5 linked regions of the Sus scrofa genome follow. The protein of the gene in region 1 purifies or fractionates together with the protein of each later gene. This does not show direct contact. Links are inferred from orthologs where the notes say so. Each region holds a gene or a part of one and is shown in the gene's direction. Other genes may lie near its edges. The genes, in order: EXOC1, EXOC6, EXOC3, EXOC7 and EXOC8.

Region 1 (3,515 bases):
CGTGACGGAGGGATTGACAGAGATCATGATGCTCCACTTGGCGTTTTACGTCAATATTACAAAGTATAGAAACATTCTGTAGCTGATAGAATTGGAAGAGGTGTCAGAGATGACCTAATCTACTGCCAGTCAATTTACAGAAACACCATATACCATTACTGATGCTTGTTCAGCCTGCAGAGATCCACAATACTGAGGCATGGTCCCTCGCCTTGATAGAGAGGACAGTATACTTTCCTGAAATACTGCATAAAAAGGGGGAATATAAACACAGTCTGGAGTTCCCTTGGTGGCTTAGTGGTTAACGAACTCAACTAGGATCCATGAGGATGTGGGTTCGATCCCTGGCCTTGCTCAGTGGGTTAAGGATCTTGTATGGTGTTGTGGCTGTGGTGTAGGCCAGCAGCTACAGCTCCAATTAGAATCCTAGCCTGGGAACTTCCACATGCCGCTGGTGCAGCCCTAAAGAAATAAAAATAAACACAATCTGATAAAGCGGCTGAGTAGATGTGTGTATCAGCCTATGTTACTCTGCTGTCAAAGAGATTTATTGCTATTTCACTTTTATCCCTCTTTTACACATTCTAAGAGTAGGAAGTATTTTCTTTTTAACATCATAGGCCAACATCCAGTCAATCATGGCCTCGGAGAAGCAAGTGAACACCCTCATGAAGCTGCTGGATGAGGCTCTGGATGAGGTGGATCAGATCGAAGTGAAGCTGAGCAGCTATGAGGAAATGCTCCAGAGCGTGAAAGAGCAAATGGATCAGATCTCAGAGAGCAACCACCTGATTCACCTTAGCAACACCAACAATGTCAAACTTTTGTCCGAGATAGAGTTCCTTGTGGTGAGTGTGATTATAAATTACCAGCAACAATAAAGCAATCTAAAGGGAGTCCCTATCATGGCTCAGCAGTAACAAACCCGACTAGGATCCGTGAGGACACAGGTTCAATCCATGGCCTTGCTCAGTGGGTTAAGGATCCAGCTTTGCCATGAGCTGTGGTGTGGAGGCCAGGAGCTGCAGCTCCAATTCAGCCCCTAGGCTGAGAACTTCTGAATGCCGATGGTACAGCCCTAAAAAGAAAAAAAAGAAACATGATAATATGTAAAACCTGTGTGTAAACATTTTCAAATTCTCTTGGAGCAAAATTTAAAACCCTGTAATTCCAAAGACCTAGTGGCAGGATTGAGTAGCATTTTACCTGTAAATTTCCCAAGCTTACGTGTGCAGATGGTGTATTTATTGTATATTCCAGAACCACCTGGACTTGGCCAAAGGTCACATAAAGGCGCTTCAGGAAGGAGACCTGGCGTCCTCACGGGGCATCGAGGCCTGTACCAATGCCGCGGACGCCCTCCTGCAGTGCATGAATGTGGCTCTTCGACCAGGTGTGTTCACTGCAGGCCAGGAAACCTGCCCTTGAACCTGAGTAAAGCCTGTGACTTGGTATAAAGCTTGACAAGAAACACATGGGGCAAGTTGTTCAGGTGACATTATTCTACTCAAACAAGTTTCATTTATTTTCAAACTCAATTTGTACTGGCACTAAGAAGTTTTTGATCAGTTCCTTCCAATTGACCAGTGATGATTCTCACTGACGTGATTTTTCTTCAGTGCTGTCTACAGAACCTAGCATAAAGGAGATGACGTGTGGTTTTGCTAAGCCAGCAGTCCAAAAACTAGAGTTGGCATCAAAATCACCTAGATAGCTTGTTAAAGTACACATTGCCAGATGCCACGCCCAGAATCGTAGGTCTGGGCTGAGCCTTAGAATCCACATCTCTCACTGTCCCCAGATGGTGCTGGGGCAGGCACCCTGGAGGAAACCCCGGTGCTGTACTATCTTAACCATTACCTTCCTTTCTTAAAGCAAACGAATAAACTAGTAAAACTCTGGGTTCTTTAAAACTGAAGTGTGAATACTGTTACAAATGTATTCATTAAACCTGGAGGAGCTCTATTTACCCATTAAATAACTCAAGAAATGTTATGGTTTCAGGCCACGACCTGCTTCTGGCAGTCAAGCAGCAACAGCAGCGTTTCAGTGATTTGCGGGAGCATTTTGCCAGGAGGCTAGCCAGTCATCTCAACAATGTTTTTGTTCAGCAGGTAATTTTACTTTATTATTAATATTAGCATTTTTCTGTAGGTTGTTCATATATTTGCTTAAAATTAAATTCTCACAGGAGTTCCCATTGTGGTTCAGTAGATTAAGGACCCAGCAGTCTCCATGAGGATGTGGGTTTGATCCCTGGCCTCGCTCAGTGGGTTAAGGATCCGGCGTTGCCATGAGCTGTGGTGTAGGTTCACAGATTCAGCTTGGATCTGGTGTTGCTGTGGCTGTGGTGCAGGCCAGCAGCTGCAGCCCTGATTCAGCCCGTAGCCTGGGAACCTCCATATGCCATAGGTGCAGCCATAAAAAGACAAAAAAGTTAAATTCCCACAAAAAATGTTAATGTGTGTAATTGGGGTCATAGTATATTCTTACACACGTTCATTTGATTATAATATCTTTAAATATGTGCATATTTGCTCATAGATGTATTTTGGCCCTCAACAGCCTCCTTTGGAAGACAGTCTAGTTCCTTTTAGCTAAAACTGAGTTTTTTTACTATTTGACCTGTTTTATTTTTCAATATTTTGGAGTGAGAACTAGGACTAAATTCCATGCTTTAAGTATGCCATTGGCTGCATGTACTTATATATATGAAAAATGAGGGAGTTCCCTGGTAGCCTAGTGGTTAAGACTTGGCAGTCTTACCACTTCAGCCTGGGTTCAATCCCTGGTCTGAGAACAGCGATGCCATATCAAGCCACTGCATGCTGCAACAACAACAACAAAAAAGACAGAGAGAAATGACTAACTGGGCTGTTAATTCCAGTAGGTTTAATCTTATATAAGCTCTTTGTCTGCACTTTTACATGGAAAGGGATCTTATAATTGATGTGTGGCAATGAAATTAATGTTAATAATATTATTAAGAGTACCTTAGATTTGAACAGAACATATTTTAATATGTAATAAATTAGATTTTGTGTACTTTATCTCTTATTTTAATAGGGTTTAGGGGAAAAATTTGAGGGTAATTTTGTTCATCAAGAGATACTCTCTGAAACACTGGATTCTTCTTTTCACTTTGCAGTGTTCTGAAGCAGTCATATTTACTGTGTTTTATTTCCCATTAGTTTACTCAGGCCCTCCTTCAGCTCTATAACAGGTCCTACTTTCTTTCGGTGCCTGTGAGTACATCAACTTTGGCTCCAGCTTCTCTGATTCTTTTTTTTTTTTTTTTTTTTTTTGTTGTAACTTTTACTAAACTTAACGGCAGCAGAATCTTTACAGATTATAATTTGCTAACCTAAGCTACCCGTTAACCATATTTGTAGCATTTTTTTCAATGTGCCGGTAACAAAAAGTTGAGCCAAAAGGAGCATTTAATCTCAGTCTTCTGCTTCCTTCCTGTCATTCTTTCACTCCTTTGTTTATTTAGAAATCTTTGCCAAGTGATT
Region 2 (3,211 bases), on another chromosome or scaffold:
TAGAAAAGCAACCTCTGACAATTTTAGTAATTTCAAAAGTGAAAAGATATTATACACTATGTTGGTTATAAAATGTAGTTAATGCAGTTTTTAAGAATGAATTTCCTTATTATGTTCCATCTGAGAAGCAGGTCACATTAAAATGGATCAAGAGCAGCATATACTTTATATTATCTGTAGATAAATAGCCAAAAATTGGTTTAACGTGTTTCCACATCTTCCTCAGCTCCTTGATCTGTTTATGGTTTGGGACTGGTCTACTTATCTAGCTGATTATGGTCAGCCAGCTTCCAAGTACCTTCGGGTGAATCCAAACACAGCCCTTACTCTTCTAGAGAAGTGAGTATATTCTGCAGTTTTCTTTGCATACCATTTAAGCATTTTGCGATTCAGTGATACTTGAAGAACTAGGGATTTTTATCAAAAGAAAAATGTCTCCATGAGCTTCCAAGTTCAGTTCTTTTCAATGACCAAAACTTAAGCCTCTGTCTTACTCGCCTTCAATGTCAGTGTAATTTTATATGAGATTGCTGTTTACGTTGATATGAACAAAACATTTTTCCTATTGTACCCTCAATACCTGGCTTAATTGGCTTTAGAAATACGTTTACTGGAGGTAAGTGAGAATTGGAACTATTTTTTAAAAATACTGTAACACAGGAAAGAAGGTATTTTGTAAAACATAGCCAGGGATTGGAATGTTTGCCACCAGTGCTGTCTAAATCCTACCATGATGGGCTTGGATTCTTTACAGGTAGAGAAGTATGAGTTTTGAAAAAATAATATTATAAAAACTGAATTAACCAGCGCGCCCTTTCCAGTTAGTAATAACACAACTGTAGGTACTACTTTTCCTTCTCATTATGTGGCAGGTTTTCTTTTCACTTTAGCCTATTTCATTTCATTTTTTTAATCATTTTTCACTTTAAATATCACTATTACAATTTTCAATTTTCCCACATTTCAGAATATCTGTGGTGTATTTGATTTGAGAGAAAACAAATACCTATTTTAAATAAATGTAAACTTGTTTTACAGTGCCATAAAACACAACTGAGGCAAAAAATTTGCTGCTTTAAATTTTCTAGTGTTACTTTTGCTTTCACCCTGTCTTGCTCTGAGTGATACGCAAAGTCTAGAGGGTATATGTTTTAGCATACTTTATGAATGGTATGAGAAAACTTAACATGCTTTATATTTGCATACTAATGCAAAAAGAGGACTTCATATAGAATGCAAAATAAAGCTGCTAATAATCTGTGTGGTTGCTATCTCTGTAATTCTATTAGTAGTACCTATTTTCTTTGAAGTATATTTTTCAAGCATAGGATTAGGGTGAGCTAATCCAGAGCACACCGAGATATTTTACTTGTGACAGTGCAACTTTTAATTTCCTTTTACTAATAAACATTTCATAATAATTCACATATATTCCTAGGATGAAGGATACTAGCAAAAAGAACAATATATTTGCTCAATTCAGAAAGAATGATCGAGACAAACAGAAGTTGATAGAGACAGTCGTGAAACAGCTGAGAAGTTTGGTGAATGGTATGTCCCAGCACTCATAGACTTCACATCGCTTGCACTCAGTGACACCAAATCCGTGACTCATCATTGATCTCTGACAGGCACTGCTCATGATACAGAAAGTTGTTTGAAGAATTCGAAAATACATTAGAGAAAAGACACTGATGAGAGCTTAAACAAGAAACAATTATAAATATCATTTGTATGGATTTTTAAATAATTGAATACTATTTTATATATGGAAAATGTGACATTAATTTTTTTCACTTTTAGGGAAAAAAGGCAAGACTGTAATATATAAATAAGGTCAAAATGTATATGAAACTGATTGTAAATATATTAGAAAAACTTACGTCTCTACATATAAGTATTCTTTTTCTATTTAGACGTAAATGATTTTTTCTGGGTTTTTTTTTTTCCCTCAGTATCTGGTTTTGGAATGCAATTATGTCTGATATTTCATTTTCTGACCTTTTAGCTTGAATTTTTACCTTAGTGTGATTTAAGTAGACTAAGTTTTCCAATTCTGCTGATTCTGAGGAAGGAATAGACAAATCTTTAAAGGCCACTGAAATCAAACTTGATTTAACCCAATAAGAATGTGAATTATTTGTTCTACTGAGGTGGTTTAATTTAATCTGAAGCTATGAAGAAAAGGTGTTTGGATTTTCTACAGAGGCAATGTTGTTTCTGTTCAGCAGGATTAATATTTCTAACTATATTGTTTGTGGCTGACCCTATTTATTTAGTTTGGTTTGGTTCAAGTTAGAAGGACAGAAACTAAACGGCTAACCACCTCAGATGCAGCTTGTGCTAGGATAGAAGTGTTCCTACACACAGAAGTCACCACAGGGGTCAGGTTACCTTCTTCAAAGAGCAGCTCTGAGTACTGTATCCTTACTGTGGAAACAAACCAAACCGAATGAACTCTGGAAAACCCAAAACGAATGTACATTTACTCTGTGTAAAGTACTACGGTCCAAATGGCAATGTCAGCCTGATCCTTACTTTCTCTTCATTGTATTTATGCTGAATGGTCCTTTTGCATTTTCAGGATTTATGCCTGTAAGAAACTTATGTTTGACTCTGTAAAAATAAGTGTAAAGAATTACATGTATGTTTTTTGATTTTGTGATGAAATATTAAAAAGGTTGAGCAAGTTGAAAATTCATTACTATTGTATCTATTTAGAGCCACTTAAAATAACTGCTTCCTTCAGAAAGGCTATTATTCTCTGGTAATTGGAAAGTGTCATCAAAGCAAAGAAAACAATCATATATTCCCTTGGCCAGCTCTTATTCAAAAGTATTTAACATTTTAAAAAACGTTACATAGAAAACATGGTAACAATACAATCTGGAAGTTACAAGAGAAGCAGAATGGGTGAACAGCTAGTTCACCTCAAAGCTAGCTCTCTCTGAGGACTGGAATGTGGTGTCCCTTGGGTGCCTTACCCAGCCCTCCAGGGCACTCAGAACGTCTCCAGCTTGGGCTGAGGCATCCTCGATTCGGAGAGAGAGACATGCTGTCTTTGCACTGCCTGCGGCAGACCACTGTGGGTCCTCAGCAGTGATGGATTTGAGGAGTTCACTTTACTCTTTTCAGTAAAACAAGCACCCTGCACTCTCCCCCACCCCCAACTTCGAGTTGCGCGCTGTAGCGACTATAACCCTGAGACCTG
Region 3 (4,197 bases), on another chromosome or scaffold:
AGGACACACAGCCACCCCTGCCCACAAGGGCTGTGGCACCCAAGCCATGTTCCTGGAGGTTCAGAGCACCCATCTGTGGCCACTCCCCTGGGACCACGTGCACCAAACTGGTCACGGTTGGTGGACAGGCAGATTAAGCCTTGTTGGTGTGGAATCAGCATCTGGACACCAGCTCTGAGGGGTTTGTGTTCTAAAGGTACCATCATGCTTGGGACCCAGGTCCTGATGTGCCCTGGTCCCTTCCTCTGCTGGGTCGGTGGCAACAAAACTTCCCCCAGTCAGCACTTTTGTGATTTTACAGCCATGCCCCTATGGAAAAATTGTGTGGGGAAGGTGATGATGGAATGTAGAAGGTCAGATCTGGCCATTTCTGTAGGCGTGGCCATTTCTGCTTTAAAATGTCATTACCAGTACTAATTACCGGCTTATATGTTTCTATTGTCTGTAGCTTTTGGCTGTGTAGCTGAGAACATATTAAAATCAAGTATACAGGAATGATATGGAAGGGAAAAGACAAACACAAATTGTATTTTATATTTTTGCAGTTTCTACTGGATGAAAAAAACTTTCAATATGGAGACTGACTCGTTGAATTTTTAAAAATTGGATGCACTATAATGTAACTTTTTGTACTTTTTCTCAGTGCCTTTAGAAAGAGCTTTCAAATGCATTTCTGATACTGTGGTTCTTGTTAAATTCGCAATATGGATGTAAAATAAATGTTAGTATGTGTCTGCTTTAAGTGGAAATGTCTTCTTGATTTTGCAAATGAAGCCCCGCCATCAGATGTTCTAGCTTTGTCTCTGCGAAGTGGTAGTGAGCTGTTCTATGTGCATTTCCTTCCTTCAGTCCATCCCCTGCTGAATACCAGGCCCTGTGATAGTGCTTAAGACACATTAGGAAAAAAAGATGGAGAAATGCGGCTGTGCTGCCGCTGACACCCCTGTGCACGTGTACAGGGGACGGGGTGCAGATAAGTGACCCAAGAGCTGGGTAAATTCTGCAACGCCTCTGGAGGGAACATGGCGGCACAGATGGAACAGCTGGGGTCTTATAGCCAAGCGGCGATTTTGTGGGAAAGGCGGCCTCTGGGCCAAGACGGGGCAGGAGGTGGAGGAGGCCCAGGGACTGGAGGCCCCGCGAGGGCGGGGGCTGGGAGGTTTGGGTTTATAGGGCCACCGCACTGGGGGACTCATACACCTGCCCCCACGTGCCCCCTGCCCCCACGAGCCCAGGCGTGTGCATGTGTGTGCTTGTGCGCCCCGTGTGTGCGGTGTGGCCTGTCTATATGTGGTGTGTGTAGGGTGTCTGCGTGCCTGTGACGTCCGTGAGAGGCGTCTCCGCGCTGGGTGTATGCGCTCGCGCTCCGCCCCTCAGGCTTCAGCCCAGCCGCCCGGTTCCCGGCTCCGCGCTCGTCCCGCAGCCCCGGCCGACTCTCGGCGGGTGCCGGTCGACAGCGGGTCCCGGTCGACAGCGGGTCCCTATCGACAGCGGGTCCCGAAATCTCCCAGCTCTGTGCACAGGGACCCGCCCAACAAAGGTCCCGCCCGCCGGGCCCACCCCCTTCCGGTCACGAGGCCGGAAGCGGAAGTGCCGGTCGCGGCTCACTTCCGGGCGGCGGCGGCGGCGGCTCGCAAGGTGAGGCCGCTGCGGGCGGGTGGCACAGTCCGGGAGTCGCGGTCCGTGGCCGCTGTCCTCTCCCCGGGCTCGGGCGGGTGCGGGCGCGGCCGGAAGGCAGTGCGGGAGGCCGTGGGAGGCCCGGGGACGGTCCGTGGAGAGGCTGACGGCGCGCCAGGCGGTGGGGAGTAGCAGGTGCAGAGCTGCGGGCGCGGCTGGGGGTCCGCGGCGGAGACGGGCGGGGAGACACGCCGGCGCCCCCCAGCCCCGTGTGTCCCGTCGTGTGCGCGGTGCCCTAGTCAGCACCGGGAGGGGAGAGACGGCGCCACAGCACATTCCGAGAGAACACGGAACGCACTCGTGTGCAGACGGGGGAGTTATTTCACAGGTCCCTCAAGGGTCTCCGCGGACCTCGCGTTGCTTTGAGAAATATCTTTGAGAAGCCGTGCGCAGAAAATGTGCATGGAAATGGACTTCAGTAGCTGAAGTCAGTCCTCTGCTTTGCCGAAAGCTCAGCAGGCGTCGCCAGCTCCCTGGCTGGCAGGTTGGAGGAGCTGGCGCTGAAGGCAGGTGTGCTTGTATGCAGCATCTGTGCTGTGTACATTGCATCTGAGCAGAGTGCCTTGTGCCCTCTCACCTCTGTTTACTAGGGCTGTTAAGCAGTAGGGAATGGAATTTTGGGTGCTACAGACAGTGATTTTGAGGGGGATCAGAGGATGGTGCTCAAACTTGAGCAGGCACGGTAAAGTGTGTGCTGTCACTGTGCCTCCATAGCTTTCCTGAGGCGTCCTGGCACCTCGGCCCCACTGGCTAGTCAGGGCTGGTGGCAATTAGAAATTGGACCTGTCCGGGGGAGATTGACATCTGAGGTGCTGAGTAGTCTGGATCCGCATGTTAATATCTTATGCTTGTAATTGCCTCTGCGCCCCTTAGGGATAACACTGGGTTCTGAAGGTTTGTGTTTCATATCAAGGAGGTCATAATCCTAGCTCAGCTGTGTTTCATGTCTATTAGATTAATGATCTCAAATGCTCTCCTTATAGCTCCACTGTGAACAACTGAATGTTACTGGAGCAGGGGGATGCTTTGTACCTGACATCTCTACCTTCCTGACACATCCTCCTCTCCTGTTCTGTCTCTGCCTGTGGACACAGGGTATCCCTAGTATGACAGGTGCAGAGATTCTGCCTGCTCTGTAACCATGAAGGAGACGGACCGGGAGGCTGTTGCAACAGCTGTCCAGAGGGTTGCCGGGATGCTCCAGCGCCCGGACCAGCTGGACAAAGTGGAGCAGTACCGCAGAAGAGAGGCCAGGAAGAAGGCCTCCGTGGAAGCCAGGCTGAAGGTATGAGACTGGAGTGGAGACTGGGGTGGCTGTGGGCGCCTGCTTCACTCTCAGGCTGGACCGAGCCTTTTGTCCCAAGTTCAGGTTCCTGCTTAGCAGAATCATTGTAATTTTGCCGAGCTGGGCTTTGTGATGCCATGAAGAGAGGCAGGCCATGGACTTTGCCTTTGTTAGTGCATCCTTTCCAACAGTTCCTTGCCAGCCGGTAGGTTTATAGAGAAGACCGTGGGAAGATTTAAAAAGCCAGAGGAACAGTCTTTTAAGCACCCAGAAGTGTCCATTTAACTATTTAAAAAAACACTTATTTACTAAAAACTTTCCTTCAGACTGTGTCCAGAGGGCATTTCGTTTGGATCCTGCTAGCACACACAGCAGGAGGCTGACTGTGTGCCAGGCACTCTGCAGGCCCTGGGATGGGAAAGAGGAGAGCTGACCACATTTACTAGAGTGTGTGAGAGTGAGGCAAGAAAGAAAGGCGGCAGCCTTTTATGATTTAGATTGGCTTTCAGCTCATTTCATGTGGAGAGATGAGGTTCTTTTAAAATAATGCACATTTGGTACAGTTATAAAAAAGTTAAGAACCTGGCCTGTTATAGTTGCCTGGCAGCACAGCAGTCTTTGCGGATTTAAGAGAATGCCTTTGATACATGTACACAATGAAATATTACTCAGCCATTAAAAGTAAAGAAAGAATGGCATTTGTAGCAACGTGGTTGGACCAAGAAAATTATCATGCCAAGTGGAGTTAGACAGTGAGACACCAATGTCATATGCTGTCACATGTGGAATTGAAAAAAGGGCACAAGGAACTTCTTTGCATAACAGACACTAACTCACTTTGAAAAACTTTCGGTTTCCAAAGGAGACAGGTTGGGGGTGGGGGGATGGGCTGGGGGTTTGGGATAGAAATGCTGTAAAATTTGGTTGTGATGATTGTTGTACACCTACAAATGGAATAAAATTCATTGAGTTAAAAACACAAAGGGAGAGAATGGCTGTGAGGAAGGTGAATCTTCCCAGCGAGGCGGCAGTGAGGCCCCCTCCAGGTGAAAAGCATTGGTAGCGTCCAGATAATGGCGAGTGTGATGAGATGGAAGGGTGATCACTCATTTGCACCAGCAAAGCATTGAAAGACCTGTTAGGCTGGCTTGAAACAGTTTCATGTCAATTTTAAAAATAGTTTAGACCTGCTACTTTTTTGTGTGTGTGCTTTTTTTAGGGCCGTACCAGTGGTA
Region 4 (3,515 bases), on another chromosome or scaffold:
TCACATGGGGTTCCTTGGGATACACTTGTTGGGACCTGCTGAAATGTACCACAGCATCCATACTTCTCCAGGCTCGTTTGCATTTTTGGATTGTCCAGTTTTCTTTAGGGCTGCGCCCATGGCATATGGAGGTTCCCAGGCTAGGGGTTGAATCAGAGCTACAGTTGCCAGTCTACCCCACAGCTGCAGCAACGCAGGATCCAAGCCACATCTGTGACCTACACCACAGCTGATGGCAATGCCGGATCCTTAACCCTCTGAGCGAGGCCAGGGGGGATCGAACCTGCAACCTCATGGTTCCTAGTCAGATTCCTTTCCTCTTTGCCATGATGGGAACCCCCATTGCTCTTCTTATTTAGGGAGTTCTTTGGGGGTATTTTCTCAAAGGTACAGTTATCAGGTAGAACTGTCTGAACAGATCTGTAACCTTCTTGCCGTCTCGAGTTCCTCTCCAGGTAGATGGGACCAGTCTGCTGACCTGTTGACAACCCTGCAGTTATTTCTTCTTCATTAATTTTGCTTATCTTAGCTATTTAACAGGGCTGCCACGGTCCTCTAGTTTTTTTAAATTTGCACTTCGTTCATGGCTAAAGAGATGGTGTGTTTTTTCACTCAGTGACATTCGTTGTCTCTTTACCACCTATAAATTTACCAAGTCGAGGAGTGCCCGCTGTGGCACAGTAGATTAAGGATCCAGTGGTGGCGCAGGTTCAATCCCCGGCAAGCGCAGTGGTTAAGGACCCAGCGTTGCCACAGCGATGGCATAGTTCGAAGCTGCAACTCAGATTTGATCCCTGGCCCAGAAACCTCCATGTGCCGTGGGTGTGGCTGAACAAGATAAAAAAGAATACATTACCAAGTTGAATCCGGCTGCTAATTTTCTATTTTCTTAAAATCTCAAAAACTTACCTGCCCAGCAGAAATTGACAGAACGTTGTAGATCAACTATAATAAAAAAAAATTCTAAAAGAAAAAAAACCCCTCACCTTCAGAACTTACAACGAATTATTGGTTCTGCGGGGAAATGTCTTCCCTTTTAAGGCTTTTCCAGATGCAGGACGAGGCCACGAGGCTGCTGGGAAAGGGTCTGCAAGTGGAAAGAGCGGGCCTGCTGCTGCCCTCTGGAGCTGCCTCTGGCGGGGGAGGGGGGCCCCGGGGTCTGGCGGAGGCAGGGACCCAGCTGTCACCCGTCTGTCCGCAGATTTCATGAACGTCTACTACCAGATCCGCTCGAGCCAGCTGGACCGCTCCATCAAAGGCCTGAAGGAGCACTTCCGGAAGAGCAGTTCTTCCTCTGGGGTTCCCTACTCCCCCGCCATCCCCAACAAGAGGAAAGACACACCCACCAAGAAGCCAGTCAAGCGGCCAGGTGAGCCCCCGCCCTGGCCCACTTCAGAACCCGCCAGAAGGCTGTGGGACCTGGGTGGCCTTTGGCCACCCACCCCGGGGTGGGCGGCGCCAGGGCCCTAGGGTTTGTCCTCACGGTAGCCCCTGACTGTAGGGGCACAGGACAGCAGGCAGGTGTCCGCCCCCCAAAAGAGCTCCTCTCTCCACCCAGCCGAGTCTAGGGCTTATATAAGTGTCCTTGGAGTGGAGGGTCACAGCACGGAGACGTGGGGTGACAGGGGTGCCGGAGCAGAGCCACTTATTGGGCCCCCGTCCTCTCCCTCTAGTGTCCTGTTGGGAGGCCAGGCATGCTGCTGCCACCCAGCTGTGAGATTGGGGCAGGGTGTCAGGGGTGCAGGGCGAGGGGCAGGCACTGCAGCCTTCACCTCCCAGAAAGCCAGAGTGGCCTGAAGTGATGAGTAGCTAAGAAGTGGAGAGCAGAGGAGTTCCCTGGTGGCTCAAAGGGTTAAGGATCTGGTGTTGTCACTGCTGTGGCTCTGGTTACTATTGTGGCGCAGGTTCGATCCCTGGCCCGGGAATTTCCACATGCCTCAGCCATGGCAAAAAAAAAGTAGATACAGGAACGTTTATGCTTTTACAGTCAGTCCAGAAAGAAAACCATCCCAGGCCATCCTCTCCAAAGACCCTCACCTGGCTTTTGGGCTCCGCAAGAAGTTGGTGCCTTGCGGTGGGAGAGTTGAGGGAGGGGCATTGAGGTGGAAGAGGCCTGGGCTGTGGCTTGTTGGTTGGCCTGGGCGAGCAGCTCACTGTCTGTCCTTCTTCCCATCATCCTGTCCCCTGTAGTCTCTGCTCCAGGTGACAGTGTCCCTGTGTGTCAGCTTCGGCTTGACAAGCCTGGCTGTTCTGGCTGCTGAGAGGGGTTGCCTTCGAGAGGCCGGGGTGGGGGTTCCAGCGGAGGGGCTGCAGGCACCAGGAGAGAGAGCCAGCGAGCCCTGGGGCTGCTCCCACTTTCGCCCACCCCGTCCAGCTGCTCTGGGACCCGTCCCTTGGGACAGTGTTTTCCCGAGCTGCCCGGCCTCTCAGAGAGCAGGAGATCTGCTCACAGTGGCCCGAGCATCTGCTCCTCCCCAGCGCTTTGTTCAGGGCTTAGAGAAATGGCAGAGGCTGCCCGCAGAGGCACAGCGTCGAGGTCCAGAGGCCGGGCAGCCCAGCAGAAAGTGCACAGCCTTCCCCTCCAGCTTGGCTCTCCTGGCTGCTCCCTCGGAGAACCTGCCACGGTCAGGGACTCTACAAGCCAGCCAGGGCAGCCGCAGCTGCCTGCTCGAGGCCTGGTTCGTGCCTGTGCCTCGTGCATTGGGCTGCGGCTGTTTCCACGAGGCTGCTGGGCCCCGGCCGGGCTGTGCTTTCTTCCCCTCTGTCTCCTCTGGGACCCCTGGAGGCCTGGAACCCAGGCCACATGCAGGATGCTGCTGGCCATGCAGGGACCAGAGATCTGATCTTTGGGCTCCCAGTGGACCTCATCCATCCCAGCCCTGTAGCCCTAGAAGGAAAACGCCGGCTGTGAGCGTCCCTCTGGTTTCTTTGGGGTTTCAAGGGTTGTCCGGAACCTTGGGGCTCAGGTCCGATGTTGGGAGCTAGAGGCAGGCCCCCAGCTCTTGAGGAGAGGGGCAGGGTGGCCTCGGGGGTAACGAGACACCAGCCTCAGCGACATCCGTGGTAACTGGGCGCCTGATGGCTTTAGCGGCTGCCAGATCAGCGTCCCCGACCCACATACATGCCAGTGTGCTGGCGAGGCTCCTGATGGCCCGGCGGGCCCATCTGGTCCTAGTTGGTTGTGGGGCGGGAATCTGAATCGCTCATTAGCAGGACTACTTGCTGAAGGAGGAGAACACAGCGAGACAGGTGCCGGGCTGGAGCCGCACACTGGCTCATGAGTAACTAATTGTGGTTGGCACAAACAGCCGCTCCAGACGCCGTCCCCTCTCCCTCAGTCCTTTGGGGAGCTGCCAGGACCCCAGCAGGCTCCCCGTGTTCAGAGCTGCGGTGGAGGACCTGGGCGTCTCCAGGGAAAAGGGACCAGATCCCACTCAGGGCTGCCTTCCCGGCCCCGGCCCATCTGGTTATCAGGGCAGCTGCGCATGTCTGTTTTCAGTGCTGTTTTTATATTT
Region 5 (3,994 bases), on another chromosome or scaffold:
GTGTTCAGCTACACCTTAAACTTGTTAACTCCGTTGGTGTACAGGAGTCGTTTATTTCAAAAGGGGTTTTCTCCAACTCAGCGGGTAAGAAAAGGGTCCTTTCACAGGGCTCCCGGAAGACCCCCGCGTCCCAAAGTTATGGAAACATAGACCCCTTCCCAAGCTGACACACGGCTCACTGCAAGGCAGCGGCGCCGTAAAGACCACAGCTGAGGACAGCACACTTCCCGGCGCCCTCAGCATCTTTAGGGGCCGATTCTGGCTGTTTCTCCCTCCTGGGTCCTAGATCAGAAAGGGGAAAGGGGTGAACTCATTTTCCTGGAAACTGAGAAACATCCTTCTCTCTCACTGTGTTCCTTACCGGTCAGATCGCCGCGGGGTGGGCCACACGGCTTTCTGAGAGCTAACCAAGGGCAGTGAGAGAGGAAGGAAGGGAAGGGAGAGGAAGCCCGAGAACGGCTGGCTGTCCCTAGACCCGACCCGGGTCACTGCCCCGGCGCCGGGGCAGCGGAAGGGCCGCCAGCTGTCCGGTCCCGGCGGGCTCGGCACTCACAGCGTCATCCGCACGCTCCACTTCACTTCCACCGCCTCCAGTTTGCCCCAGAAGAAACGATCGTTGAACTGCACAAACAGGGCCTGCAAATCCGGCGTGGGGTCCACCAACTCCCAGGACGCGTCCACCAGCGACAGGGGCTCCTGGGCCGGATTGCGCTCCGAGACCTGCAAGTTCCACTCTTCCTGAAGCCGAAGAGCCAGAACCAGGTCCTCATCCATGGCTGCCCGGCTACCAGGCGGAGTCCAGATGGCTCAGAGAGCCTAGCCGTGCTCCTAGGAGATACCAGCTCCCAGGCCACTCTCGGGTCAGGCCACAGATCTCGCGAGACCTAGTAAACTCCGGCTCGAGAAAGAGAACCGAGCGTGCCCCGAACTCCAGTCAAGATTCTAGGGCTTAAAACAACAAAGAAAATTCAGCATGACACCTCCTAGTGGGCTCAACACTTGGGTTCCCGAAGCTTGAGCCCGAGGAAGGTTTCAAGTAGCCGGATACCGCCTTTACGGTTCGCGGGTACGGTCAAACATCAACGTCATGCTCGGCCCATGCGCAGTATCTACACCTCGCTGCTCCGCCCTCCACTCGCTTCCGCAGGAGCTTCTCCGGCGCATGCGCCCTAGGCCACTGGCGACCCTGCGCCGGCGCGCTGTTTGCGAGGGGCATCTTGCGCAGGCGCAGTGTCCGGACTTCAGACCCGGGCGCAGGCGTACTCGCCTGTCTTCCATCCTGCTTCCTCAGCCCTGGACTCGGCCGGGTTGGGTGGGCCTCGACAGTGGCGGCGGCGGCAGCGGCGGCGGTAGTAATAGTGACAGTGACTACGTGAGTCCCCGACGGAAATGGCGATGGCGATGTCAGACAGTGGGGCGAGCCGCCTGCGGCGGCAGCTGGAGTCGGGCAGCTTCGAGGCGCGGCTGTACGTGAAGCAGCTCTCGCAGCAGTCGGACGGGGACCGGGACCTGCAGGAGCACCGGCAGCGCATCCAGGCGCTGGCGGAGGAGACGGCGCAGAACCTGAAGCGTAACGTCTACCAGAACTACCGGCAGTTCATAGAGACGGCCCGCGAGATCTCCTACCTGGAGAGCGAGATGTACCAGCTTAGCCATCTGCTGACCGAGCAGAAGAGCAACCTGGAGAGCATCCCGCTCACCCTGCTGCCGGCCGCCGCCGCAGCCGCTGCTGGGGCCGCCACCGCCTCCGGAGGGGAGGAGGGTGGAGGCAGCGCGGGGGGCCGCGATCACCTCCGGGGCCAGGCTGGCTTTTTCCCAAGTCCCGGGGGCGCCTCCCGCGACAGTTCTGGTCCGGGCGAGGAAGGGAAGCAGCGCACTCTTACCACTCTGCTGGAGAAGGTGGAAGGCTGCAGGCACCTGCTGGAGACGCCGGGACAGTACCTGGTGTACAACGGGGACCTGGTGGAATACGAGGCGGATCATATGGCCCAGTTGCAGCGAGTGCACGGCTTTCTCATGAACGACTGTTTGCTGGTGGCCACCTGGTTGCCACAGCGGCGGGGGATGTATCGCTACGACGCCCTCTATCCCCTGGATGGTTTGGCCGTAGTCAATGTCAAGGACAATCCCCCCATGAAGGACATGTTCAAGTTGCTAATGTTTCCCGAGAGTCGTATTTTTCAGGCGGAAAATGCAAAAATCAAACGCGAGTGGCTGGAAGTGTTGGAGGAAACCAAGAGGGCCCTCAGTGAGAAAAGACGCAGGGAGCAGGAGGAGGCAGCGGCCCCTCGAGGGCCACCCCAAGTGACTTCCAAGGCCAGCAACCCGTTTGAAGATGAAGACGACGACGAACCAGCTGTTCCTGAGGCGGAAGAAGAGAAGGTGGACCTCTCAATGGAATGGATCCAGGAATTGCCCGAAGACCTGGATGTTTGCATCGCCCAGAGGGACTTTGAAGGGGCCGTTGACCTGCTGGATAAGTTGAACCAGTACCTGGAAGATAAGCCCAGTCCACCTGCTGTAAAAGAACTGAGGGCCAGAGTGGATGAGCGTGTCCGCCAGCTCACCGAGGTGCTGGTTTTTGAACTCTCCCCGGATCGGTCCCTGAGAGGCGGTCCCAAGGCTACGCGTCGGGCCGTTTCTCAACTAATCCGGCTTGGCCAGTGCACTAAGGCTTGCGAGCTGTTCTTGAGAAACAGGGCAGCAGCTGTGCATACCGCAATCCGCCAGCTTCGCATCGAGGGTGCCACCTTACTCTATATTCACAAGCTCTGCCACGTCTTCTTCACCAGCCTTCTCGAGACGGCCAGGGAGTTTGAGGCGGACTTCGCAGGCACCGACGGGGGCTGCTACTCGGCCTTCGTGGTCTGGGCGAGGTCAGCCCTGGGCACGTTTGCGGCTGCCTTTAGCAAACAGGTGTTCGACAGTAAGGAGAGCCTCTCCACTGCAGCTGAGTGTGTGAAGGTGGCCAAGGAGCATTGTCAGCAGCTGGGTGACATCGGGCTAGACCTCACCTTCATCATCCACACCCTCCTGGTGAAAGACATCCAGGGGGCCTTGCACAGCTACAAGGAAATCATCATCGAAGCCACTAAGCATCGCAACTCAGAGGAGATGTGGAGGAGGATGAACTTGATGACTCCAGAGGCCCTGGGTAAACTCAAAGAGGAGATGAAGAGCTGTGGGGTGAGGAACTTTGAGCAGTACACGGGGGATGACTGCTGGGTGAACCTGAGTTACACGGTGGTGGCTTTCACCAAACAGACCATGGGCTTCTTGGAAGAGGCGCTGAAGCTGTATTTCCCGGAGCTGCACATGGTGCTGTTGGAGAGCCTGGTGGAAATCATTTTGGTTGCTGTTCAGCATGTGGATTACAGTCTTCGGTGTGAGCAGGATCCAGAGAAGAAGAATTTTATCAGACAGAATGCATCCTTTCTGTACGAAACAGTCCTGCCTGTGGTGGAGAAAAGGTTTGAGGAAGGTGTGGGGAAACCCGCCAAGCAACTTCAGGACCTGAGAAATGCATCGAGACTGATTCGTGTGAATCCCGAAAGTACAACGTCAGTGGTCTGACACCTGGACCTGTTTATGTGTATACGTATATATGGCTTATATATATTATTTATATTTATATTAAGTTGCATTAGCGTATTCTTTATAGTCTCAAACACAGCCTAAAAATAAAAGATGCCTTCTCAGAAATGCGAAAATCAAAAGGAGATTGAAAAACATGTTAAACCCACGTAACAAAAACATTGAATTAGTAGAACATACAATATGCTTTCCTTTTAAATTATGCTAACTCTCTAATGACTATATATCGTCACACCAGAGCATTTCAACTTGTGTTTTGAAAGTTTCCCAGTTCACTAGGTTTCTTAAAGGGCACAGTGCCATTCCTGCCTCGTGTACTTCTGCACCTTAAAATGTGGTTGAACAATTTGGGGAAAAGAAAGGAGGAGTTGAGAAAACTGGTTTCAGGGTAAATTTTGGT

The links.
Region 2: the proteins of EXOC1 (region 1) and EXOC6 purify together in Homo sapiens (affinity purification with mass spectrometry; 4 studies listed by BioGRID and IntAct, counting the BioPlex papers as one, with this or other methods). This does not show direct contact. The link is inferred for Sus scrofa from reciprocal best matches to the Homo sapiens genes EXOC1 and EXOC6.
Region 3: the proteins of EXOC1 (region 1) and EXOC3 purify together in Homo sapiens (affinity purification with mass spectrometry; 5 studies listed by BioGRID and IntAct, counting the BioPlex papers as one, with this or other methods). This does not show direct contact. The link is inferred for Sus scrofa from reciprocal best matches to the Homo sapiens genes EXOC1 and EXOC3.
Region 4: the proteins of EXOC1 (region 1) and EXOC7 purify together in Homo sapiens (affinity purification with mass spectrometry; 4 studies listed by BioGRID and IntAct, counting the BioPlex papers as one, with this or other methods). This does not show direct contact. The link is inferred for Sus scrofa from reciprocal best matches to the Homo sapiens genes EXOC1 and EXOC7.
Region 5: the proteins of EXOC1 (region 1) and EXOC8 purify together in Homo sapiens (affinity purification with mass spectrometry; 3 studies listed by BioGRID and IntAct, counting the BioPlex papers as one, with this or other methods). This does not show direct contact. The link is inferred for Sus scrofa from reciprocal best matches to the Homo sapiens genes EXOC1 and EXOC8.

What each region holds. Positions count from the first base shown.
Region 1 is NC_010450.4:55,209,883-55,213,397, forward strand, and holds part of EXOC1 (exocyst complex component 1), read left to right. Parts: intron 1-620; coding exon 621-848; intron 849-1,260; coding exon 1,261-1,393; intron 1,394-2,004; coding exon 2,005-2,114; intron 2,115-3,191; coding exon 3,192-3,245; intron 3,246-3,515.
Region 2 is NC_010456.5:104,546,938-104,550,148, forward strand, and holds the end of EXOC6 (exocyst complex component 6), read left to right. Parts: intron 1-226; coding exon 227-339; intron 340-1,438; coding exon 1,439-1,571; 3' UTR 1,572-2,701; downstream 2,702-3,211. UniProt on the Homo sapiens protein: Component of the exocyst complex involved in the docking of exocytic vesicles with fusion sites on the plasma membrane.
Region 3 is NC_010458.4:79,727,465-79,731,661, reverse strand, and holds the start of EXOC3 (exocyst complex component 3), read left to right. Parts: upstream 1-1,389; 5' UTR 1,390-1,638; exon of another isoform or gene 1,639-1,812; intron 1,813-2,771; 5' UTR 2,772-2,818; coding exon 2,819-2,962; intron 2,963-4,197. UniProt on the Homo sapiens protein: Component of the exocyst complex involved in the docking of exocytic vesicles with fusion sites on the plasma membrane.
Region 4 is NC_010454.4:5,341,487-5,345,001, forward strand, and holds part of EXOC7 (exocyst complex component 7), read left to right. Parts: intron 1-1,201; coding exon 1,202-1,369; intron 1,370-3,515. UniProt on the Homo sapiens protein: Component of the exocyst complex involved in the docking of exocytic vesicles with fusion sites on the plasma membrane.
Region 5 is NC_010456.5:59,191,158-59,195,151, forward strand, and holds the start of EXOC8 (exocyst complex component 8), read left to right. Parts: upstream 1-1,187; 5' UTR 1,188-1,389; coding exon 1,390-3,573; 3' UTR 3,574-3,994. UniProt on the Homo sapiens protein: Component of the exocyst complex involved in the docking of exocytic vesicles with fusion sites on the plasma membrane.